Arabidopsis thaliana: one gene and its partners. The protein of the gene in region 2 interacts with the protein of the main gene of each other region in a pairwise test. Each region holds a gene or a part of one and is shown on either strand. Other genes may lie near its edges. The genes, in order: ATAF2, AGL12, TRY and AT5G11340.

Evidence for each region.
Region 1: the proteins of AGL12 (region 2) and ATAF2 interact in a two-hybrid assay, tested with the Arabidopsis thaliana proteins (one large-scale study listed by BioGRID).
Region 3: the proteins of AGL12 (region 2) and TRY interact in a two-hybrid assay, tested with the Arabidopsis thaliana proteins (one large-scale study listed by BioGRID).
Region 4: the proteins of AGL12 (region 2) and AT5G11340 interact in a two-hybrid assay, tested with the Arabidopsis thaliana proteins (one large-scale study listed by BioGRID).

The regions. Positions count from the first base shown.
Region 1 is NC_003076.8:2,857,093-2,863,086, forward strand, and holds ATAF2 (NAC (No Apical Meristem) domain transcriptional regulator superfamily protein), read right to left. Parts: upstream 3,467-5,994; 5' UTR 3,053-3,466; coding exon 2,893-3,052; intron 2,804-2,892; coding exon 2,523-2,803; intron 2,432-2,522; coding exon 2,021-2,431; 3' UTR 1,757-2,020; downstream 1-1,756. Other genes in the region: AT5G08780 (winged-helix DNA-binding transcription factor family protein), read left to right, coding at 91-240, 329-1,110, 1,203-1,290, 1,395-1,718; AT5G09210 (GC-rich sequence DNA-binding factor-like protein), read right to left, coding at 5,627-5,756.
Region 2 is NC_003070.9:26,950,942-26,957,564, forward strand, and holds AGL12 (AGAMOUS-like 12), read right to left. Parts: upstream 4,187-6,623; 5' UTR 3,999-4,186; coding exon 3,817-3,998; intron 3,720-3,816; coding exon 3,614-3,719; intron 2,766-3,613; coding exon 2,704-2,765; intron 2,617-2,703; coding exon 2,517-2,616; intron 2,420-2,516; coding exon 2,378-2,419; intron 2,254-2,377; coding exon 2,212-2,253; intron 2,064-2,211; coding exon 1,962-2,063; 3' UTR 1,604-1,961; downstream 1-1,603. Other genes in the region: AT1G71691 (GDSL-like Lipase/Acylhydrolase superfamily protein), read right to left, coding at 1-118, 224-539. UniProt on the Arabidopsis thaliana protein: Probable transcription activator that regulates root development by controlling cell proliferation in root meristem. May mediate responses to auxin in the root. May act as promoter of the flowering transition through up-regulation of SOC, FT and LFY.
Region 3 is NC_003076.8:21,579,879-21,585,485, reverse strand, and holds TRY (Homeodomain-like superfamily protein), read right to left. Parts: upstream 2,873-5,607; 5' UTR 2,574-2,872; coding exon 2,510-2,573; intron 2,217-2,509; coding exon 2,129-2,216; intron 1,695-2,128; coding exon 1,526-1,694; 3' UTR 1,243-1,525; downstream 1-1,242. UniProt on the Arabidopsis thaliana protein: Transcription factor. Involved in epidermal cell fate specification. Negative regulator of trichome development, including endoreplication, by lateral inhibition involving intercellular interactions.
Region 4 is NC_003076.8:3,616,714-3,623,427, reverse strand, and holds AT5G11340 (Acyl-CoA N-acyltransferases (NAT) superfamily protein), read right to left. Parts: upstream 4,277-6,714; 5' UTR 4,203-4,276; coding exon 4,049-4,202; intron 3,039-4,048; coding exon 2,916-3,038; intron 2,578-2,915; coding exon 2,360-2,577; 3' UTR 1,917-2,359; downstream 1-1,916. Other genes in the region: AT5G11350 (DNAse I-like superfamily protein), read right to left, coding at 65-146, 301-350, 428-509, 583-635, 770-835, 984-1,150, 1,219-1,660, 1,744-1,845; AT5G11330 (FAD/NAD(P)-binding oxidoreductase family protein), read left to right, coding at 4,567-4,809, 4,918-5,222, 5,309-5,519, 5,619-6,086.

The DNA of each region.
Region 1 (5,994 bases), on a different chromosome or scaffold from region 2:
TTTAATTGCTTGATTCCACAATTTTGAGCACTTGTTTATGCATTGAATCTGACTGAATGTTAACTATGAACAATTTTTGTTGACGAACAGGCACATGAAAGAAAAGTTGAGAATCTGAGAGGTTTTATGGTGAATTTGGCGAATTCAAGAGACTTTTCCCTTCCTGAGACTAAACTCTTCCAACAGAAATTCTTGGATCTGTGTTTATCCCGTACTCCTGATCATCCCACTTATTCCGCTGTATGTATGAAATTATAACATCTATTATGTGCATATACACACATACATATCTCTGCTGTGTTCTTATGACTGTATACATTTGTTTCAGATGATATTTATTGCTATCATGGATTTGAATAAAGAAGGTGGCGCAAGTGAAGATGCTATATCTGAGTTTATAAAGTCGAAATACAAGAACTTGCCATTTGCTCACACGAATTTGCTTAGTCATCATTTAGCTAAGCTTGTGGAGAAAAGAGAGATACTTTGTGACTGCAACAACGACTGTTACTCTCTCCCGGGTGAGAAGAAGACTGTTGCTTCCACTGATGTTCAGAGAAAGAGCGATCTGATAACAGTGAGAACAAATGATCAGCGTGCGGCGGATGAGGTTATGACTTGCCAAAACAAGGAAGAAAGTGTTGAAATTTTGAAGTCTGGGGATCCTAAGGTTGTTTTGTTGGAAGAACAGAGTTTGACTAAATCCCGAACCGGCTCCAAACGTAAAGCATGTTGTGTCATTAACGTCATTGAAGTAATGGACACAGAAGATAATGGATTCAAAGCAGGTTTAAGGGATTCGACTGTTCAAATTCCTAGGAAAGAGGGAGTTGTTGAAGTAGTAGATGTAGAAAATAGTGAGAATGAAGCTAGGATTGAAGCAAACAGTAGAGGAGGTGAATTATATGAAGTGGCTGTTCTATATAAGCAGAATGATGTGTTGATGGAAGAGTCGGGTAAAGAAGCAATGGAAACAAGCTCAATAGTGAGAAAAGCAAAACTGCGCAGAACATCTAACACAACGAAAGAAAATGTGGAAGTCACGAGTGAAGCATATAAAAAACTTTGGGAGTGCCAAACCGAAGCATGCAGCAATATCATTGCTCTAGAGTAAGCTCTGATCCCTTTTGTTGCCTGTTTTTCTATTCATCTTTGAATTAGCTTAATGATTTTCATGTTTCTCTTTGGGGTTGGAAAAATAGGAAAATGCTAAAACAGTGCAAAGAGAAAGACCAGCAGAACAAAGCTGTTTCAGAAATTGATGATGTTTCTCGTTTGCCTTTATCAATGGTGAGGACAAAAATCCCTGTTACGTCATGTCACTGATATGTTTTTGAGCTGATGAAAAACAGGTTCTGAATGTTTTTTTGTTGTCTCCTTTTCTTTATCCACAGGAAAGCTGCAGAGAACTGTGGAAGGCTGCCCAAAAGTTACAAAGCCAGCTCTCTGAGATCATCGATTCATGTGATGAAACCGTGGTTCCATATTCTGTATCTCCAGGATGTGAACTCGAAGGTATAAGCAAAGGATTATGCAAAGAGGATCCCAAAATGAAGACTCCTCGTGGGAATAATGGATCTGAAAAACCCTCCACACAGCTTGAACAGAAGGAAAGAGAGAAGTCTTCCAAAAAGAAACCTCAGGTCAAGAAAACGAGAATCAAAAGTCTCAGAGACATAGGAATAACAGCTGTGAGGAAATCGCCTCGATTCAGCTGATGATACTCATCAAAAAATGCTTCCGGAGAGCATGATATCTCATAAAGGTTAGGTTGTTATTTAATATCAGTATCTACATAAGTGCAACATCTTGAAGAATTTGAATATAAATTTTTAGTTTTCATATAAACTTCTCATGAAAGAACAAGAATGTGCCTGCTAATGAGACATTGATGCTAAAAGCTATTAACATTCTACAATCTTCTTTTACTACTAAGAGCCAGGGATGAGTTGAGATGAGACTCTTCTCTCTGGCACATCACAGTACTACTAGCAAACACCTTTTTTGGTCTCTTCCGTTTTTACCCCTGTGGAGCAAAACTCCAATTCAAGAATGGTTTCTGCTCAGGCGGATCCTGGAAGGAAGTGAAATAATCAGACTGATACAAGAACTGAGGGACAAAAGCGTCAGGCTGCAACAACTCCATGGAACTACCAAACATTGAAGTATCAAAAGCTTCCAAAGCATCCTCAAGCTCTCCCCATTTAGGCTCGCTCTGAACCTCCAAAACATCCGGTGACACCACGTGACCGTGACCACCTGAGCTGCTGGAATCATCCTCTTGCAATGTCGGGTAAGTCGAGTCTGATGTATCAAAAGGTGATGATGACTGTTCAGCCATTGTCGTGGTCCTCGGCTTCTCATCCGCGGGGAAATACTTCTCCATGGTTCCTTTCTTGTTGTATATTCGACATAAAACCCAATCATCAAGCTGTACAGCAAAACCCACCACAACAAAGTTAATAATCTAAATCATCATTCACGAAAAGATGATACATAAGTTAATAAGAAACAGAACTTACTCGTAGGTTGTTCTTTTTGTTAACAGAAGCTGATCTATCAACATTAGCGAGACGATACTCATGCATTATCCAATTGGTCTTAATCCCTTTTGGAGCTTTCCCTGCGTAGAAGACGAGTGCTTTCTTGATACCCAACGTCTTCGGTTTACCAATCGGTTTATCTGCTCCGGTAGCTTTCCAATAACCGGTTCCTGCTGCCCGGTTAGGACGCGAACCGTTTGGGTATTTCCGATCTCTAGGTGAGAAGAAGTACCACTCTTTCTCTCCGTACAGAGACATCTCTGAAAGAAGAACAAACATCTCAATAAACAACGATTCTCGAAGACACATGATTTCGCGAAAAATAATTAGAAGAAGCCCATAGGTGTACCTGGAAGCTCCCAAGGATTGAACTTGTAGAGATCAATCTCGGCGATAACCGGAGCCGAGATCTGCTCGGAAGCACATTTCCGGCACAAGTAGAATTTCACAAGCTCCTCGTCCGTTGGATGGAATCGGAACCCAGCTGGTAAATTTAGCTCCGACTTCATTCTCTTCTTCTTGTCTGTTGCTCTTGGAAAAATCTCTTCTTCGTTGGTTGAAAATTCAATTTCAGCTGGATCTGGATTTTTTTTGGGTTTTCTTCGTCTGCTCAAGATTGTAATCGAGGATATGTGAGTGAGGCGACGAAGGTTTTATAAGGACGAAAATCGCCGAAATGTTTTAATTAATTTAAATTGAAAAAACACAAAAAACAGAAAAGAGATGACACGAGGGGATTTTCAAGCACGTGCGGCAAAACAGACCGTTTTCTTTTCTACGCTGACCGCAGCCAGCTGGATATATACGTGGCGTAATATTATTGGATAGTCGACTTAGATGTTGTCATTGCTTGCGTCACTTAAACCTTTTGTGAATTGTTGACCGACTTTAGACCATCTCCATTGGGAAAGAGAGTGTAGAAAGTTTCTTACTTGAGAAACTTTGAGATACTTTACAACCCATCATGACAATTCTCATCTTACTATTGGTTCAATTTTTTAACAAAAATACTTTTTTAATTAAATAATTAAATTATAATATAATATTAATATTTTTTTTGTTTGAGAAATTTTGTGGATTTCTCGTAGATGGAAATGCCTTTATATGTCAAACCGTAATCTCCTGCTTCTCAGTGTAGCTTATCGCTTTTGTTCCTTTACTTACCACTAAGATTTACCACTAAGATTTAAAAAGAAAAATCTCAGCAGCCACTACTTTTTTATGATATTGAAATTGACACATTATTGTAACCTTGCTGAAGATAAGTCAGCATTTCTTGGGGCGGAAGTTGTAGTTTTGACTGGTGATTGGACAGTTTGATGAAACTACGGTGAGCATCTCCGCAGCTGATTAATTTCCTTCTTCAGGCGAAGCTTTGCGTCATGATGGATGACGTCATTTAAAGTTGCAATCGCCAATCATAGTCACTAATTATAAATACTCTCGACTAATAATACTACATTCACATAAATAAAAACATTGGAGTTCGCAAAGAAAGCGTTTGCGCTTTAGTTTGAGTTTCCCCGTTACATAAAAATATGTGTTAAGGACAACTATTTAACCACTAGCTTAATCCTTAATTAAGTACCCATTGAGCCGCTTTCATTACAGACTTAATTTATAATTCATAAGTTTGATTCACTAGCAAATAATGCCCATGAATCCTCTTCTATTTTAAAATCTTTAAATGTAAAGTTGAGGTAGGTGTGTATGCAAGCATGACGTGGGCTTGTTCCCCGTTTTATGATCATCATCACTTACGTTTTCTATCATATTATAAACTAATTATGATCGATTCAACGTAATGTTTTATAAGATCATGGTCTTTTCCTTTTACTATTAAAAGTCCCTTAGTAGCCAAATTAATTATAATACGAAATATTTGTGGTCAAACATGACTTTTTGTTGTTGTCAATAAGGATTCTTTATCGATATAAGAATGCAAGTTATATAAGTCGTATCATTTCATACACATCTTTTAGGCTTTTAGCTAAATAATTTTCGTGCACTGACGACTTCATTTTTTTCTGTCGTTTTAGATGATAACAGTCAAGTCTAGAATAAAAGATATGACCACTAATATTAAACCAAAAAAAGAAAACAAGAAAATATATAAAAGACATCGTAACGCATGATTTGTTCCTATTATAAAATTCAGATCAATTGGATCTGGACTTGATCTGAATTTTTATGATAAAGAGAGAAATCGACTTTATAGTTTTTTTGCAGTTGTTTGTTAATTTAGTCGCGGTGTGAATTGAAATAGGAAGCTTCGTGGAGCTTGATGTTATAGCTGCCGAACTTGACCCAAATTATGCAAATATAATGTTTTGGTGATGGATTATTACCTTTATGTTTTGTCGTTTCTAGAAATTTACATTGGAATATACTTGAGAATTTGGATAAGGAGGAGACAACTTGGGACCTCATTGTCGGAACTTAGAACCTATCGTTAACAACAATTAGTATCACATATACTACATACTATTCTCTATTCATATGACTACTTGTCTTATTCTTATGTGCGTGCGTATGACAAAAGTCTTACTATATAACATTCGTTTGAAACCGTGCATATATTGTAGTTAATTCTAGCATTTTAATTGGAATGTTTGAGTAGTGAATTATAAGTTTATGATAGATTTCTCCAACCTTCCGAGTTTCTAAATCGAATTTACTCAAAGCTCATACCTCTTATAATCGTGTGTAATAAACAACTTGCAAAGTTTCTTCAAAAACCAAACTACTTGCTAATTGCAAAAAAAAAAAATCAAATAAATACATCCATTTGTCACACCATTTTGTCCCTCTCTCTCAATCAATTCGTCACCGCAACTTAAAAACATCGGCCCAATTTGTCTTTCTCGACACAACAACTTAGGAAATAATGGGTCACGTTTGGGCCTTAATTTTGGGTCACTTACGGAAAACGGTTTCGGTTAGCTGGAGATCAACATCCAATCCGAATTCATTGTTAAATAACTTTTATCCTTACGGAAAACGGATCGGTTAGCTGGAGATCAACATCCTCCTAGAGACTGAATGATCTGACAATTTCCTCAGCGTGTCCATGTTCATGGAGCTCAACAAGTATTTTCTTTAACCTGCGGGCGAGACCAGTGGTTTCCGTATCGACCAGTCCCGAGGCAAACCTTTTTCTCGAGTATTCTTCCAAGTGTCAGAGTACAATCCACAAGGGGTTGCAGCAGATGACTGAAAAATCAAATAAAACATGCATGTGAGTATGCATCAAAGCAAAGTTGCAACACAAAGTGGTAATGTCCTAATCTGAGATGTGGATATCATGGGGAACCAAATGAAGATAGGTTAATGATACTTTGGACGTGCGTAGACCCGTTTTTTTTTGTTTTGTTTTAATGTAGACACACATCTTAGTTTCTCACTCTCACGTTGGCAATCGTATCAAAACAGTAGCTTAATTTTTCATGCA
Region 2 (6,623 bases):
TTTCCTCCGGTGTCAGGAAGAATCCCCGCGGCTGCGGAAGCATAGTTGACACCACGAAGTACTTGATCTCCGGTAGCTTCCGAGTAGGCCGGAATCAGTGGCAGCCCCAATAGTTGAGCTATACGATCAATGCATGCATGCATCATATATAATACTTATATCAGCCTCGTTCCAGTTTTAGGAGGAAGGAAAACTTATTATAATGCATAGAGTGAAAACTTACCAATCCCATCGACCATCGTTAAGCCATTGCAGAATCGACCGGTCGGACCGCCATTGAAATCAATGCCATAAGGAAAATAATTGGCTTTGGCAAAGGAAGGAATGTTATTGTTATTCCCATTGTCTATTAGAGAGTCACCGAAGACAAACAGCGCCGGCACAATGCCATCACCGGTGTTTAGGTCGACCAGCGGAGGCGGAGGAGCAGAAATAGGTTCCTCAACCACAACTAGTTGGCCAGAGACGCCATGAAGGAGTTGGAGAACCACGGCAAGAAGAGCTGAGAAGAAGCAAAGTCGCCGGAAGTGGAAAGCCATTATGAAGTTGTTTGTGTTTAGTAAGGTGTAACTTTTAACTTTTGTAGGTTGATTTTGGGGTGAAGAGACAAATAGATTTGGACAGATTTATAGATAGATGAGAAGGGTTTGGTGAAGAGTAATAAATGTATTTATCCGTCTTCTACCACACCGTAATAACACAATCAGTGGTAGGTGAGTTGTCTACAATATTACTTAACATTATTGTAAACATGTCATTTTCCATAGCCAGATTTTTTGAGAAACGTTTAAATTGTAGCTATCGGAAAATTTAGCAATTAGTGTATTTTGAAAATTACATATTTAGAATTGAGATGCAAAACAAAATGTGTGTGCCAATTTATGATGTGTTTACTGTTTAGGCCGTATCACCAAAACAATCATTCATTCTTTTTTCTTTTTTTATTCTATAATTAATATTAGTTTAACAAAAGTATTTAAGTTGAAATATATGATCAGGATGACATAATTATTGATTTGGTGAAATGCAAGCCAGCACAACTAAAAAAAATATCATTTACTTAAACAATCGATTTCATTAAGCTCATTATATAAAATTCCTGTATTTTTTTTTTCACATATAAAATTCCTGTACATGATGAACTATTTGATCGAAAGAGGAAAGTAAACCAGGGAGAAGCGATTTATTAAAAAACATTTCTTACCAAATAAAAACATTGCATTTAAATCGTCGTTATTCTCAAAGACGTTTAATAAGCTGTCACGGTCAAATCGTGAAGACCAGTTATGTCGAAGACGAGGGCAGAAAAAGCAACAAATAAGCCTCTTCTATTACAAATGATGGTTGTAGATTTTAGCATGTCATTAAATTTAGGGTTGACTTTAATGTTTTGACTTCATCATATACGCGGGACCCAATAATATGGTAGTCTTTTTAAACCAATAAAATGTATAGTCCCATCGTATGTTAAGAACTTAAGATACAAAAAGTTTTCACATTTCTAGATTTGTTTCAAATTTCATGACATGATCAGTTACGTTATGGAATCGAATCAGAGAAGCTTTAGTTGTGTCGAATTTCTATTTTCCATAAAGTATGAGTTGTCGACATTATAATTTTCATCATGGATAACAATGTAAAATTATTAATTTAAAAAAACATTGTAAATATACACTGCAAAAAGAGGCTAGGTATCTTCAGTTAAACCCAAAACCAAATAATCCATAAATTCAAAACATAGATAGAAAGTAGAAAGAGTTATAAGTACACACCACACTTGCAGTCATTTCATCTTCACACCAACAAATGTAAAACAAGAGGATAAAACATACGGATAGATTTTCAACTGCCTAGCGAAGTTCCACAGGCTTTATTTTAATTATGTGTGATTTAACAACACTATATTATACTTACCAAGGTTATTTAAATTCGTGAGACATAGTCTTCAAATACCCTATGGTCTAGAACTGAAATATTTCACTTGGCATTGTTAGCGGATAGGAATAGTTTGTCTCCATGACTGCGAAGTTAGCATCTAATATGCTATTGTTGTTTTCCTCTATCTGCATTTAATTCACCAACAAAATAAATCATTAGACAATAGCTAAGCAAAACACTCTAAAGATCATCTGAATAGTGCGACTAGATAATTCTGCTGATAGAAGTTTCATAAGTTGTGCTATGATGAGATCATACAACTGATTTTGTTACCTTTTCGAGGAGATACTTGTTGGTGTTTTTGAGGACTCCTTCCTTTAAATACAAAAAAAAAAAAAAAAAAACTGTTAAAAATTTACATTAATTTAATATAATTGCTATAAAGCTGAATATACAATGTGTTTTTTTTTTTTGAAAAACATTTGTTTTTTTTGCTTACCTTGTTCCTCAATGACTGAATTTCTTGAAGCATAACATCCATCTGCAAATTTTACATAAAAGCTTTTCTAGTCAATCATTTTATATTCACTCTCCCTAACATTTGCACTAAATATATGCATGAAAACATGTATACATACCTTAGCAGAGCGAATCTGAGAAATCCAATACTCAAGATGCTTCTCAAGCAAAAGAAGTTCTTCAAGATTCATAGCCCCATCTCCTCCTCCAAACATATAGCTGAAATCCATTTTAAATGCATTTACTCATATATGTATAAATTTATAACCCATAAGTAAGGAGATAGCATGCAAATAATCAGTATACCTTATCCCTTTCTGAAGCATCTCAATCTCTTGCTTAAGCACGTTGATCTCATCTTTCGGATCCTAGAGAATTATAAACTTTTATTTCAATGTTTCTATACATTATTTGTAAACATATCTAAAAGCGGGTGAATTTTTTTGAAGATGTCGAATTACAAATAGTGACCCATGTTGGTACACACACACACAAACATGAAATACGTATATGCATCAATATATAAAATAATAGTTCAAAGCGTGTCAATAACTATAGTTTAGGCCTTAGGGCAACCTTTATAAAGTGGTCAGATCAACTTTTATTAAAAGATTGTGCTGATTATAAACCAATAATACTACTTCATTCCGAAACACAATGCGATTGAATAACCAGAGATATAAAATATTAATTAAAGTGTAATACATTGTCTCTAAGCATCTTTTACTTTAACAGTAATTACTTTGACTTGTTTCGTAACTATTTTATGATAGTACAACGTTCCACAACAATGTCAGTTCCTCTCAGTAGTCAACAAATTAAAAATTCGGAGAATTGGAGAGCTAGGTGCAATGAATGTTGTACTTCACTAACTATTTTCATGTATAGAATCAGAATCAGGTGCCCTACCTAACTTCCCTGAGTATTTTAATTTCAAATCAATTAACAACGTCCAACAGATTTTCCCTCTGCATGTCAACACGTGTTAGCATGTTGCACACTAAAATAATGTTTATGGAACAAAAAGACTAAACTACCCCTTAAAAGAATGAAATGGAAAGAAGTGAAACTACTGACGACGAGGCACTAGTTTTAATATCAACCCAAAAATTCTATTTAAAAAAACAAACACATACGATAATCAATCCCAAAAATAAAGAAAAACTCGATGAAAGTAGATACTAATTAATGAGAATGAAAGAGAAAGTAGACGTACAAGATTTGGTGGTTGAAGTTGTTCTTGAGCAGTAAAAGTAGCAGAAGAAGAACCACGACCACCACCAGTACACTTCATGTACTTATCAATCATTCCCTCCATTGTTCTGAATTTATAATCAGATTTACATATATAATATATGTTACTCTTTAGTCACATGTATATATATGAACACTAAGATATATATATGATATAATACGTACCCTTTAGTAGCGAGCTCAAAGAGCTTGCCCTGAGGAGAGAAGATCACAACACCGATCTCGGCATCACAGAGCACAGAGAGCTCCTTAGCCTTCTTGAGAAGACCAGTTCTCCTCTTGCAAAAAGTCACTTGTCTGTGAACCGGGTTCTCAATCCTCTTAAGCTGAATCTTTCCACGAGCCATCTCTCAATCAGAATATTTCCTTCTATCTGATGATTTGACGTTTGGGTTTACGTTTAGAGTTGGATTTGGTTTTATGACTTGAAAGTTGAAACGTGAAACAACCTCCCACTAGTTTGAACTAGCTTCGAGGTTCCCCACTTAACTCTTTGGTTTCTCTGTTTCTTCGGAGACAACTGTGAAGTTATTACCAATCTCATGCCACCTTCTTGTCTTTATATATAATCTCCATTATCATATTCTCCCACTAACTTCACTGCTTCTTAAAGCACCTTTTCCACATCAGCCTCATTTTCCCTTATATATGTATGCGCTCATATACGTTATATGTTAAGTATGCATTCATACAATAGTATATAGCTTTACATGCGAAAGCTCCGTCTTTCTTTGTTATTATAAGGGGTTTGTATTGTACTATCCCTTCCTCCTCTAGCTTGTAGTATAATTTCCTAGGTTTCTTTTTGATTGATTGATGTTACATCTGATGTGACATATGACCTGACATGCACTATTGTTACAATATCCAAATATATTTAACAATCTAATTTGGTACAATTTACATTCTACACCAAGAGATGGAGGCTGGATTTGATATGTGCAAGACTATATATATAAAAAAAGATTGAGTTCCCAAATGGCATGCGATTCACTTTCTTAAAAAAAGAATTCTTTGTTTTATTTTTTATAAACAAAGCGTTATTATGTGAAGGATTTAGAGTAAATAAGAGTTCAACAATGAAACAAAAACTAGTTCTGTTCCTAGTTAAACATTCATAGCATCTTTATTCATAGCATCATTTATTTTGCCTCTTATATTTACTAATGTATAGTTCTGAATATATCTCTGCACGTACCTCTCATATCTTATTTACTTTAACTGGATCCAAAGATCGAATATATTTATTTTGGGTTGATGACTTGATGTAAATCATTAAAAATACATAAAATTTCATCTTAAAATCAACTAATAATAAACAAGAAGTTATCAAAAAAAAAAAAAAAAGTGGGAGGTTTTTGCTCTATTGATTAAGCAAAAGTTTAATGTATTTACACTATCGAATTACCGTCCGAATAATAACAAAATATATTATATGTATATATTTTTGTTATTATTAAAACGAACCATATTTGATCTAGAGTTGAAACTCACATGATCTCTATTTAGTGTCTAAATATGAAATTCGATTACTAGAAAATATAAAGCAGACTAATAGAAAGAAGTTTACAAAGAATTTTCATTGTGGTATATATAGAACTGCTCATCATTATTATGTCATGTTAAAAATCCATGGTGAGCTTTTTATTCTGTATTTTTTTTTTTTTTTTCGTCCGAGCTTTTTATTCTGTATTGAATTATACATTTCTCACATTTAACGACGTGGAATTCTTAACCCATTTTAACAACTAAAAAGAACAATTAAGTGATGGTCATTAAGCATACTTAGCCCATATTAAAGCGGGTATCATGTGCATCTCATCGTGGTGGAGAACCAATGACCTGCCCATGTTAGGTGCCAATGTAGCCTTTTTTTTTTGTTAGGTGTATTAATTTATTGAATTTCACCTTTTTGCTTGTTAATTGATTAAGTAGGTCGTTTTTCTCCTTTCTAAATATTTTTTTGACCATCTTGCTTTGCCTTTGGTCTACATAACAAACTCCTGAATCTTATTCTTCTTCAACATTACGGGGTTTTTCAACTCACTTTTTTCTTGGAATATGGGATTTTTCTCTTATTTCTGAGTAGAAAATCCACCTTATATTCGACATCAATATTTCAAAGAAATACATAATACATTGAAACATAGATTGATACTCTGTAACGATGGAACTTTTTTGGTTAAGGTCACTAACTGGTATTCTGTGAGCGGTTTAACTCATCATATAACAAAAGACTCACAGCTTCTTTTACCAAAAAAAAAAAAAAAGACACAGCTTTTAGCAACGTTTTTTACGATGGTATTTTTTAGCGTGGATTATATCATCAAATTTAAATTTCACCATGAAGAAAGTAAGGTTTAATCAAACTAGAATTAAATAACATTTTCCATGGACTAAATCCCCTTAGCAGCTAATTTTTTTTTTTTTTAATATAGCTAATGTAAGAGTATATTCCCTTTAACTAATTTAATCCATCTTTACAGAATCCATAACTAAAAAATATGATAATTTCGTGGTGATTGTACACATTTCGATTTATTTTTTTTGTTGAAAAGGCCAAGGTTAGTATTCAAAATAGTATTAGAATGGGATTCCTCTATAAATAATTTACATTTGCCATTACAACATAAACTGGTGTGGAACCAAAGTTCTAAACTATTGAAATCTAGTCAAAATATTTCGCTGTCAAAATATGTATTTTGGACATTTTGATTTCGATGCTTCCAAAATTGAAATGATTGATCGTTCTAAAAACAGTTTAAACTTTAAGAAAGAGGGTCAGCTTAAGTAAGGAAGAAGGAAGTAAATAAAGAATCTTTGTCAAATCAAAATGCATCAAACATGCAAAACGCAAAAAGTGTGTGATCGATCTGTTGCTTCTTTTTCCTCGCATCTTTGCGCTCATTGGCTCGATCAAGATCGTATCTATGATTGACACTTGTTTGATTTTCATGTCTTTTAGGGGCATA
Region 3 (5,607 bases), on a different chromosome or scaffold from region 2:
GGGCTGTAAAAACTGAAATTGGGCATTTTTTATCGGCCCATAGTTTTACCTTTACTTGTATTGGTCGAGTGACGTTGATAATCTGTCGTACCTTGTTAAATAATGGGCTAAAATAATTGGGACACTATTGGGCCTAAAAGCTTTAACTAAGATTGTGATTTGTGAGTTTATGTGAAACGACATATAGCTGAAGAATTGAATCGTTTGGTTCGTAATCATGAAAATCATATAATGGAAAATTCTATCCGTTAAATCCTGTCCATGAAAAGTTAGTTTTAGACGCAAACCGTCCGTTCATTAGTCGTTTACCAATGAGAATCACGTTTTTTAAATAGACGTTTAGGATGATCTCATATAGTACTTTTTATCGTGTTGGTAGAAAGTTTTCAAACTGATAATTTTTTGTATGAAAGGCAATACTATATATAGATTCTTTATTTCTTAAAACGTTTATAGAAAAATTAAGTTCATACTTCATACTTCATAGTCCTACATATATATAGCTAGTGCAAGCATGTAACACCTAATATTTAAGTGATTGTGAAAATAAGTGTTCATAACTTTTGGTTAGAATTGGATCGGGGTTTTTATTTTAGTTACATTTTTTTTAAAGTATAGATACATTATGTCATTAATTCTGTAATAATTTTTTTAAGTAGTTTCTTCAAAATATACTAGTCAACTATAACTAATGGAGTATTTCTTTTTTTTTTTTTACTATTTAAAATTATTGTCATTAGTTAAAATATTACCCAACCATTTTTGCACAAATGATCAGTTTCCTCTTGATAAGTTCTTTCAAAGGACTAAATCTAATACACAATTTTTTTTACTTTCTAATTACTGATGTATTAGAGAATATAAAATATATTAGAGAATATAAAATATAAAATGTTACTATATATAAAATTAAACTATAAAATATAAATGTATTAGAGAATGATACAATTTGTAAAACTTTTATATGTAATAAATAATTCTCAAATTTTTAAAATTACTACTTTAAAAATAAATCACGGGATGGGTAAAGAAATTACAGAACAGATTTTATTTTGGAATTGAGTTATATGGTGGATGTATTTGAATCAATATTTATAAATTTTTAAAATATTATTAATATGCTGTTTTAGTAAGGGTTAAAACTTCAGTTTTTTAACAATTGTCTCATGGATTCGTTGTATAGCGTTACTTAATAACAATTATAAACTGTAAAATAAAAATATTTTATAAAAATAAAATTTGCAAGTTTTAATATATATTAACTTTAAAAAGTAAATTATACCGCGATATACCGCGGATTAAAATCTAGTTGTGGATATAAAAGTCGTAGACGAGAAAATAAAAAAACCTAACCGCATGGATTAAAGTTGATTACCAAATGAAACCTATACTATAAAAATTATAAATGAAATAACAACAAAAAGAAAACAATAGATGATGAATTCTTCAAACTAACAAGAACCACTACTATACATCTATTATAATTTTTTTATTTTCTTTTTTCGTTGGCTTAAAAACAAAAACACTAGGAAGGATAGATAGAAAAGCGAGGACGGTGAGGCTTGGTATGTTTGTGGGAAGATGAGTGAAGCTGGCGTCGTTTATCAGCAAAGCCTTCACTGTTTCTCATTATCCAATATCTCTCTATCTCCTCTGGTTGTCTTCCAGGAACTCTTCCTGCTATCAAATCCCACCTAATTCAAAAGAAAAAAAAAAACATTTTTATCCCAAGCATTAGCATTTATATTTTCATAATAAAATATAATTTGTCAGTTCAAAAATTTCCATTTTTGAGCCAGCCAAGCATTTATATACATGAGTACGTACTGATAAGAATAGTAAATTAGGTTCTTATTTTTATCTCTATATATATGTGTGTACATATATAATTTAATGAACGTGATAGCTTTAATTAAATGTCTTTTTTTAGAAAATTAGTGGACACCATGTGCTTCCCCTACAACATGGTACACTGTACATATGTTATAAAGTACATATGCTTAAATTAACGTATGTAAAATTGTATATACCTGCATATTAAATTGTTTTAGCTAGACATGTCTAAAATATAAAATTTATTTTATGCTGGGATAATCTTAGAAAAAGTAGAAGAAGAAGAAATTGTTACCTATCACCGACAAGTCTGTACATTCGAAAGATGAGATCTTCTTCTTGTTCAGTCATGTTGATAAACTCCCATTCGATACTGCTCACTTCTGCAAATAACAATATTAAACCAATTAAACTCAAAACAATATTAAACTAACAAAAAAAGACAAATATAAACTTTTTAAAAAGATATTAATTTTTGTTAAAACTAGAAACTAATCTTGATAAGTCTTTTAGTCAGCACGAGGTGTAACTAATTTAGAAGTAATTAAACGTATCCCTCGTTTTAACGAATATATACAAAGAGAATATGATCCTAGCTAGGAACTAAATTTATTTTCAAGATGTTTAATAAAATTGGATTTAGGAAATAGAAAATATATAGAGAATAGAGAGGTACCTTCAGAGTCATGGAGGGCGATTTTGTGTTGCTTACGACGGCGACGACGGTCAGTGTTATCCATTACTATTGAAGTAAGAAAAGAAAAATAGAGAGAAATTAATGTGATGAAATTTTGAGTTTGGAGAATGTAAGGAAAAAAAGACGTGAGAGATGAGAGTTTATAGAGCGAACAAGAAGAAGAAGAGGGGAGGAGAGAGAAGGAAATGTCCAACGAACGGCCTTTGCAAAACTAATAGTAAGAAGTGTTGTGTGGTCTTGTTGACCTCTTACCCTTTGTGTAGACTTGTCGTTGACACTCAAATACACATGGAGATGAAGTCTTTTATTGGGATTTGTAAGTATTTTGAAGGCTAACTTTGTTCTCATTCGTAGATCCTAACAATTTTTTTTTTCCATTTATTCAATTTTTCTAAACCTACTATCTTTTTAGAATAATGGGATTTATTGATTTTTATTTGGCAGATGCAAGTTCAACGATGTTTTAGTTATTGATTTGTTGTTGTTCTTTCCATTTTTGTATTCAAGTCCAATTTGTATTTCTAAGAAAATTAGTTGTTATTAGGTTATTAGTTTTTCAAGTTTTTTTTTCAGGGTTGGACATACACACCAAACCGTACCGAATAAAAATTCTTGAACCAAAAATAAACTTATTTTTTTTTCCATATAGTAACAAATTAGTTTCACTATATACACTAAAATGAATCTAATTCGAACCTTAATCTAGTGCATGAAAATGAAACAAAATCTAATCGATCAAATTTATTAAAATTGTCCATTGTGTTTGTTATTAAACGCTATGTTTGAGCCAAAACACATACATATTTTGATAGTCATCATTGTCACTACAATTAGTTATTTTATTTTGATAGTTATTATAATGTAGGAATAAGTTAGATATCTTACAACTTTACTTAAAAGATAACGTCACCCAATATAAAACATGGGAATAATATTTATATCAATATATATAGAAAATACTTTTTAATATATTAATTAGATAGTTATTTATATTATTTTATTAATATTTTAAATAAACCAAACTAAAATTTATTTTAATTTAGAGAAATATTATTAAAATCGAAAAAACCAAACAAAACGGAAAATCGAAGGCCTATACCTAATATTCCCACTTAATATAGTACGTATGTTAATTAATTCATTAATCAACATGTTCATATTTTCATTCGTTATACAAGAAGTCTCATTCCCGATTGACTTTTCTTTCATCTCCACGAAGAGGTTGAAACAGAAATTTTTTGGCACAATAAAAAACATGATTCAGATTTTATCCCAAAATCACACAATGTTTTTAATATAATAATTCCACTTCTCCGAATAATTTAACATTTTAACCCCTGTTTTTTAATTCTACATTTGACATATGTTTTAATTCTAGAACAGTGACTAAGACATTACATACGACGCTGTATGGCAACTCCTTACACACGCGATTTAATGAGTGCTTCTGGAGAAATTCAATCTCTCACACATGATACAACCAAAATCCCTGATTTGCGTTTTCTTCGAAATATTTAAATCTATTATAAATCTGAATCGACCCATTAAACTAACGTATTTAATTCGAGTGAGAAACATCATATATAAAGTACGCTTCTCAATAAATTTTGTAAGAAAGTATACAATTACTATCATATTCTCACGAAAGAGATTTTCAAAATATAAAGTACCCTACCAGATAATTCATAATTGGATAAAAGATTAAACGGAAGAAATCTGTAGTCTACGGCGAAAGACATCGTGTGAGGCGAGTCATGTGATGTATATCGCATCATCCTCATTGCATAGAAACTGTGTATTATGTGATAGATTTGGAATTTTTTTAATAGGAAGCCTAGTTGGTAAAATATCTCTTTACTCGAAGCTTAAATACAATATAGCAATATAAATGATTTTCATAAACTTTTGATAAACAAATCAATTCGATATCGAAGAATGCATCAATGAAAATGTGTCTTTAGTTTGGAGCTAAAAGAACGAAATTGGTTTGCATAGCTAAACTAATGTCTAAAATTCTGGTACAAAAGGACAAAGATGTGATTACCTTTTCTATTATTTGATTATATCAACAACAACAAAGATGTGACATGTTGCCTCCTAGAAAGATTTTTCATAATAGCAATCACTATCCATTTCTCTTTCCACTTTAATTAAAATTAAAACTCTTGTACAAATTATTCTTTTTGGTTGAACAATAAATTTGATATTACACAAGAAAAGAAGATAGATTACTCGTAAAAGAACTGCTATTAAGGAATATTTTTGTAGTTAATAAGAAAGTTATAAGAGAAAGAAAAGAAATATTGAACCGATTTGAAACATGGTTGCAGCTGTTGGTAGATCAATTCAACTAACATTCTTAGGCCTAAATAAACATATATTTATTTGTAACGTATCGAATGATTACACATATTATACGAGTGCCCCCATACATGCATGTATATAGGAGTATTTTATATTTTATTAAACCTGGGTCATTAAAATATTAATTTAAACCCCACAAAGTAAAAGCTCGAATCAAATAATAAAACTTGTTGAACTGTAGATGTTTTGATTGGTTAACAACATTGTTGACAACATTTAAGGTGGTCCAATGAATGTTTCTGCTGCTTTCAGTTGGAAAAGCGTTATATACGAATTGAGTATATTCACTTAACCGCTTACACTCTTATGCAACATATGAGTATTTGCGGTTTTTAACAAGATGGAAAACGTGATATTTTAGAAGATGATAAGGTTTCTTCACTACATGACTATATATGAGTGAGTAGCCCCATCCACAAACAACATATGAAGTAAATTTATATTTGACTAACATTTAATAGGTCATAGAGTTATGAGAAATGAGGAGACGATGTAGTTTATTTCTTTTAGACTCGAATCGAATGAGGTGTGAAATTCCTTCTTCTTCTATTTTGTTCTATCGTATTTGTGAGTTGTTCTGGTTTTTTGGATCGATACGTTTTCATCCAGGGTAATTTTTTTTGTTGTTTTTGTATGAATGTTTGAATTTGATATATTGAGTTTTTGTTCTTATATTGATAATTTGTCATAGTTTGACATAGTTAAAATTTATA
Region 4 (6,714 bases), on a different chromosome or scaffold from region 2:
AGAGTAAAACTGTCGTTTGGCAAAAGATTTCTACAAACTAGAATATGGCATTAAAGGAAAGTACCTGACCAAGTTTAAAGTCTCCTCTTTTAGGATTAAAAAGCACGTGAATGTTACAAATGACAACTCGATGGGAACCAGCAGAGCTGTAAAAGAAATTGGTAATTCACTTCAACCCACCCACAAAGTATAGTCCATACAGAAAACCACTGAAATCTGAAGAAAATCGGCCACTTCCTAGTGAAATTATCCACCCATAAAATGATATGATAGTAACATTTACAGATACTTTTAAGTTACCTTTCAGGTGGAGGGGTCTCATTTTCTTTTGTATGTGAAGTCAACAATGTCTACACAGAGCAAATTTAATTTAGGGCAAAGAGGCAAATGTATATAAGTCACTATCAACATAAGGTATCCATATTACCTCAAGCACACATATTTGAGCAACGTTATCTCGGAGACCAAGTTGATTGAACTGGATGCTTTCCTCGTGAACCAACTTGAATCTAATATGATAACAATGAAATCCTAAACAAGATTCCAGACTGATCCACACAAGGAAGAGCAAGGGAATCAAACCTATTGGATCGCCAAAATATTGCACATCCGTCAACAGCATTACCAGTCCGCATCTACAGTTTTATAAAATAGAGTTAACCCCACATTTGAAGCCTAGTTCTTATGATGCATACCATTTAATCTTTACTCCAAGAGAGTCCGTAGAGAATACAAACTCAAGACAACTAAAAGTTTTCAACAAACCTACCTTCCAAATAGCACTATATCCCCGGTGCTTCATCTCCTCCTCTAAGTCCTGAAATTTATCAACTTCCTGACATATACAAAATAATTTTAGATTACTATACATATGGAAGATACATTCTGTATACATATGATAAAAAAATAGTAAAGCAAGAAAGTTTTGTCTCCTTAGTCCCTCATACAAGCAATTACCAAGAAGATATAGCAGAAACTATAACCTGAAGGCACATTATATCTGCAGACCATAGGCTAAGCTCGAACACTAATTTGCTCTTTCTCCATCCCCAACTCAACATATTCCTCGGTATGTGAAAGTAAAGACTTCTCCAGTGATCATTTGCAAGGTAATCCGCCAATATATTATACGATAAAACAACAAACTTTTCTGTAGACAAGAGAAAGCAAATCAAAAATTGTATACCGGAGCAAATGAGATGGTCACGCATAAATTACCGGAGCCAGGAGACGGTGGCGTTTTGGCATATTCCCATTCACGGTAATCTGAAGGTTTTGACCGTGGCCGTTGACGAAAGCTCTGCTGTGGAGGCGGCCGGGACATCTGGTTTTGATAGAACGGAGGGGGAGGGCAAGCCGCGTAGTTTTGATTAGACGGAAACTGATTAGGTTGACGGAATTGTTGCCACTGACCTCGTGACGGCGGCGGAGGTCGAAATTCGTAATTCTGATTGAACGGTGGTTGCTGCCGCTGATCAAGCGGAGGCTGATGTTGTCGATAAGGTTCACCATGCCGGAATCGGAAATTGGCGTCATGAACTGATTGAAAATGAGAATCTCCAGTAACGAACTGATCTCTTCCCGCGTCATCATTGTACGGACGATCGGAGAAACTTCTCCCACCTCGGCCTCGTCCTCGTCCTCGGGCACCTCTGTACTGCTTCGTAAGAAACAAATTATATTCCAGTAACCGAAGCAACGCAGCGGGAGTGATAGAACAAGAGAATAGCTGAGAAAATTTACCGGAGCACGAGTAGACATGGTGAAGATTGGAGCAGAGATAGTGGAGGCGTCAGCGAAGGTAACGTCGGAGAAAACTTGAGCAACAAAACGAGAACGCCGCATTGGTCAATCGAATTGAGTGAGGAAGCTCGAGGAACCGGTGCTTAATTGCAGACACCGATGAACGGAGACTCATAAGACGTGCCGTTTTTTGATTCAAGAAGAACACATCTTCCAGTCTTCACTGTGAATAAATGGCACGCAAGCCAAAACGCAAGTCATAAATTCTTCATTTTTTTCTTTACTTTATTCTACAGCTCATAACAAGAATCATTGTCTCTCTTTACTCAAATTCATAGACCAACATTTACAAACACGATGATACTTGGTAGTAAAGCTTTGAGTTGCAAAGTTAAAAACTTTTCCAAACGAAAATGTCCAAAGCCAAGAGGACATTAGAGAAATCATGCAAGTATATAACCAGGAATTTATAAATTTAGAATCAGTAAGAAAAATTAAGGTCAACAAAACAAGCAAAACTCGGAAACCGAAGGATCATCATAACATTAATAGATCTTGAACTGAATGCAACAAAGAAACTGGGGAGGAATGGCTTCCCCAAGTTTGGTATTTTTCATCATTTGTTGGCTTCAGATTGAGCAAAGGACTTGCTGACAACGTAGCAATCTCTTGGCTCAATGTTGATGTAATAGTTTTGTATGGTATCTGTGATCTCAAAGCCGAACTTCTTGTAGAACTTGATTGCGTCTTCGTTGTTTGTCTGCACATGCAAGTATATCTCACACATGTTTTGCTTGGAGCACATGTCAAGAACATGATTCAATAGATTTGAGCCTGCAAAAGACGAAAAAAACAAGATACACAAATTATAGACATCGAGTTTTTCTTTCTAAAGCAGGGAATTCGATCTTAAATCTTGATATAGGAGGAATCATAATTCCAGTTTCTCGGTAAAACAACGATATGCATAAAACCCTAAGGACTATTTCTTGGTGGTTTGAATCTCTAAATGGAGACACTTCAAATAGAGAACTACAGAATAAACATACTACAGCTGGCCTCATGTGTTAAAACGTAAGGAAAACAACAGAATTACACAACATGCTAACAGTTTTCTTCATTATTCATGTTTTGTCGGTATTCAAGTTTTGCACAGCAGATTTATGACTTACCAATGCCAATCCCACGGTAGGGTGCAAGAACACCAAGCGTCATTATATAAACTCGCATGGCCCCACTTTCTTTCTTCTCCAGCCGACAGGCGATAGCTCCAACACATATGTCATTGTAATATGCTGAGAGGAAGTCAATCCATTATTAGAACATGAAGAATTTTCCTTGATCACAAATTAGAGAAAATATATGTAACACCAAGAACATAACTACCCAAGCAACTGCAATGAAATAGTTAGTACCAAATTTAAGACGTTGTTAACAGTCTTTAGACTTTCATAATCACATCTTATTGTACATTTAAAGAACTAGTTGACGCAAAAGATGTTCCAACCAAGGGTTTCACAAAAGTGAGCTTGAAAAAATTCTGTGAATACGAAAATTAGTCTTGGACCATGTTCTCGAAAGATAATATAAGTCAATCAGCGATAGATTACAAGGTACACATGCTTAACATACAAAAAATTTTGCTTGGTTGAACAAAAGAATGCAGTATTCATATAGTCAAACAACTTAAAACAACGATCAAGATGATACTTTGTCAACATCAATGTCATCAACCACAAAGTTCAAACATGAATCGGTAATTACGAAACAACAGACAATAGAAAGCAAACAAAATCGATCCATTCAAGGCTTAGAAAGAAGGCTTCTACCAATATTACCGATAAAATCATCTTCTTCCTAGTATCAGACACTAGTACTGAACCTAAATAAAACATGGCTCAGTCAAATAAATTCACGGAACCGAACAAAAGAGAAGACACAGATAATCACACCTATTACAATGACCAGTGAACCAACTAAACAAACAACCAAAGGAAAGCAGGATTGCAAAAGGTACTTTCTTTGTAGAGTATACCAAGCCTAATCACAGAACAGTTCATCATAAACCCCCCAAAGCAAACTTTTCCTATTAAAGGAACAAACTCGACTACTAATGCTCGCTCAGGTAAAAAGACAGAAATCTGAGAGCAAAAATACCAAAATTCGATGAATTTTAGTTCTGATTCAGAGGCACATTCCCGTGAAATCGTAATAGCACATGCCCATTAAGAAATTTAAGCAGGAATTACTGGGGAAAGCAAAGAGAGACAGAAATTAAGAAAAATCAAGTAAGAAGAAGACGAACCAAGCTTGGTGAATTCGCCGGCAGCGATTGCATCGGCGTAGTACTTGTCGTTGTAACGAACCGGGAACAAAACCGTGTTGAGTATCTTAAGCTGCATCAAGTTTTTGTCTCTGACTCCATCTAGCGATACGCTGACTTCTCTCCCAGCTCCCATCGCCGTCGAACAATCTAGATATTCGACGTCGTACGGACAGAGACCAAAGAAATCAAGGGAAGAAAAAGCTCGAGATTTAGGGGAAACCCAAAAATCTATAAATAATGTTCGTGGGAGAGAGAATAGACTATTGGGCCTATAATTCATTCTGGGCCTGGACAAAATGAAATTCTAATACATAGTTTTGACGCACAACAGAGATCAGTTTCTTATTTATATGACCAAACGATTGGGCTTGGAATATTGGGCCTGGAATCATCCCACATAGTTCTAATCCTCTTATCCACCCAGAGGTTTCATTAAGTTGAAACTCTCTCTTATCGTTAACAATTTGTGAAGCAGAAGAAACATTTGATTTGATGAGATGGGGAAGAAGAAAGGGAAAGCGATCATAGTAGGAGGAAGTATAGCAGGCTTATCTTGCGCACACTCGCTCACGTTAGCATGCTGGGATGTTTTGGTTCTCGAGAAATCTTCCGAACCTCCTGTTGGGAGTCCTACTGGTGCTGGGCTCGGACTCGACCCTCAGGCTCGGCAGATCATCAAATCATGGCTTACTACTCCACAGCTCTTAGATGAAATCACCTTGCCTCTCTCGATTGATCAGGTAATAAGAACACTGAGTTTAGTTCGACAATTGAAACAATCGGCGTTTAGTTTTTCCAGCTCTACCTAAAGTTTTTAACTTTTTTTGTGTGTTGTGGGTTTGTTGTAGAATCAGACAACTGATAGTGAGAAGAAAGTGACAAGGATTTTAACAAGAGATGAGGATTTTGATTTCCGAGCAGCTTATTGGTCAGATATTCAATCTCTTCTGTATAACGCATTGCCTCAGACCATGTTTCTTTGGGGACATAAGTTTCTGTCTTTCACAATGTCACAAGATGAATCTAATGTAAAGGTTAAGACTTTAGTTGTGGAAACTCAAGAAACTGTTGAAATTGAAGGAGACTTACTTATTGCAGCTGATGGGTGTTTGTCTTCGATTCGGAAAACTTTCTTGCCTGACTTTAAACTGAGGTTTGAAATAAGAGTGTGATCTTCATTTATCGATATTTTGTGGACTTGATCATATAGGATTTTGTTTTTTTCGTTTTATGTGAAAGGTACTCTGGTTATTGTGCTTGGAGAGGTGTATTTGATTTCTCAGGGAATGAGAACTCGGAAACAGTTAGTGGGATTAAGAAAGTGTATCCGGATCTTGGAAAATGCTTGTATTTTGATCTCGGTGAACAGACTCATAGCGTGTTTTACGAGCTTTTTAACAAGAAACTCAACTGGATTTGGTATGTCAATCAACCAGAGCCTGACCTGAAAGTAAGAAGACTAATTCCTCTCTCTTTTTGATTAGGATGCGTCTACAAGTGTAGTTTTCTTGATTTCTATTTTGTTGTTGTTATGGAATTACGATATCAGAGCAACTCTGTTACTCTAAAAGTGAGTCAAGAAATGATCAATAAGATGCATCAAGAAGCAGAAACCATTTGGATCCCCGAACTAGCGAGACTCATGAGTGAAACAAAGGATCCTTTCCTTAATGTTATTTACGACTCTGACCCTTTAGAACGAATCTTTTGGGGAAACATCGTGTTGGTTGGAGACGCGGCTCATCCCACGACCCCTCATGGTCTAAGAAGCACAAACATGTCGATACTTGATGCGGAAGTGCTAGGCAAATGCTTAGAGAACTGTGGACCTGAGAATGTAAGTTTGGGTCTTGAGGAATATCAGAGAATAAGATTGCCTGTTGTTTCTGAGCAAGTTTTGTATGCAAGGCGTTTGGGGCGTATCAAGCAAGGTCTGGATCATGACGGAATTGGAGATGGCGTTTTTGGTTTGGAGCAGAGAAACATGCCATTCTTTTCCTGTGCTCCCCTTATCTAGTGATAAATATTTGATGTGAGAGATGTTGTATGTTAATAATTGTGTGTTTAATAGACTTGAACATATTGTTTGGAACGTTAATGTAGAAACTATGGATACTTCAAATACAAGTTATATAAAAATGATGAAAAAAATCAGTTTTGTGACCCTAGAATCCACAAAGCAGGAGAAAATTTGTTTTCACTGTCAAAAAGGAAGGAAAAAAAAAAAATTGCGTCTGCCGGGAGTCGAACCCGGGTCTATTGCTTGGAAGGCAATTATCCTAACCGTTGGACTACAGACGCTTTTGTCTTCTATTTACAGGTTGACATATTTAAATATAATGGTCAACGCAGAAGCCGTTGATTCTTACATGGTGATTGGTGGATACTATTTTTAGACATATTATTATATTTTGGGACAATTATACATATGTATTATACACCTTTTTCAGTTGTTCATTCTGGAGAAAAACAAAAACACTAAGTGAATCATGTGATGCGTCGCACAAAATGCATTAGTAAAGAATGTGGTATGTGGTATGTGGAGTGTGGACCATCGTTTAAACTTCTTTTTATTTTTTGTTTATCTTACTACTACAATTAAAAAGAACATCATAGTTGTAGGAACTAAAATTAGTAATACTACA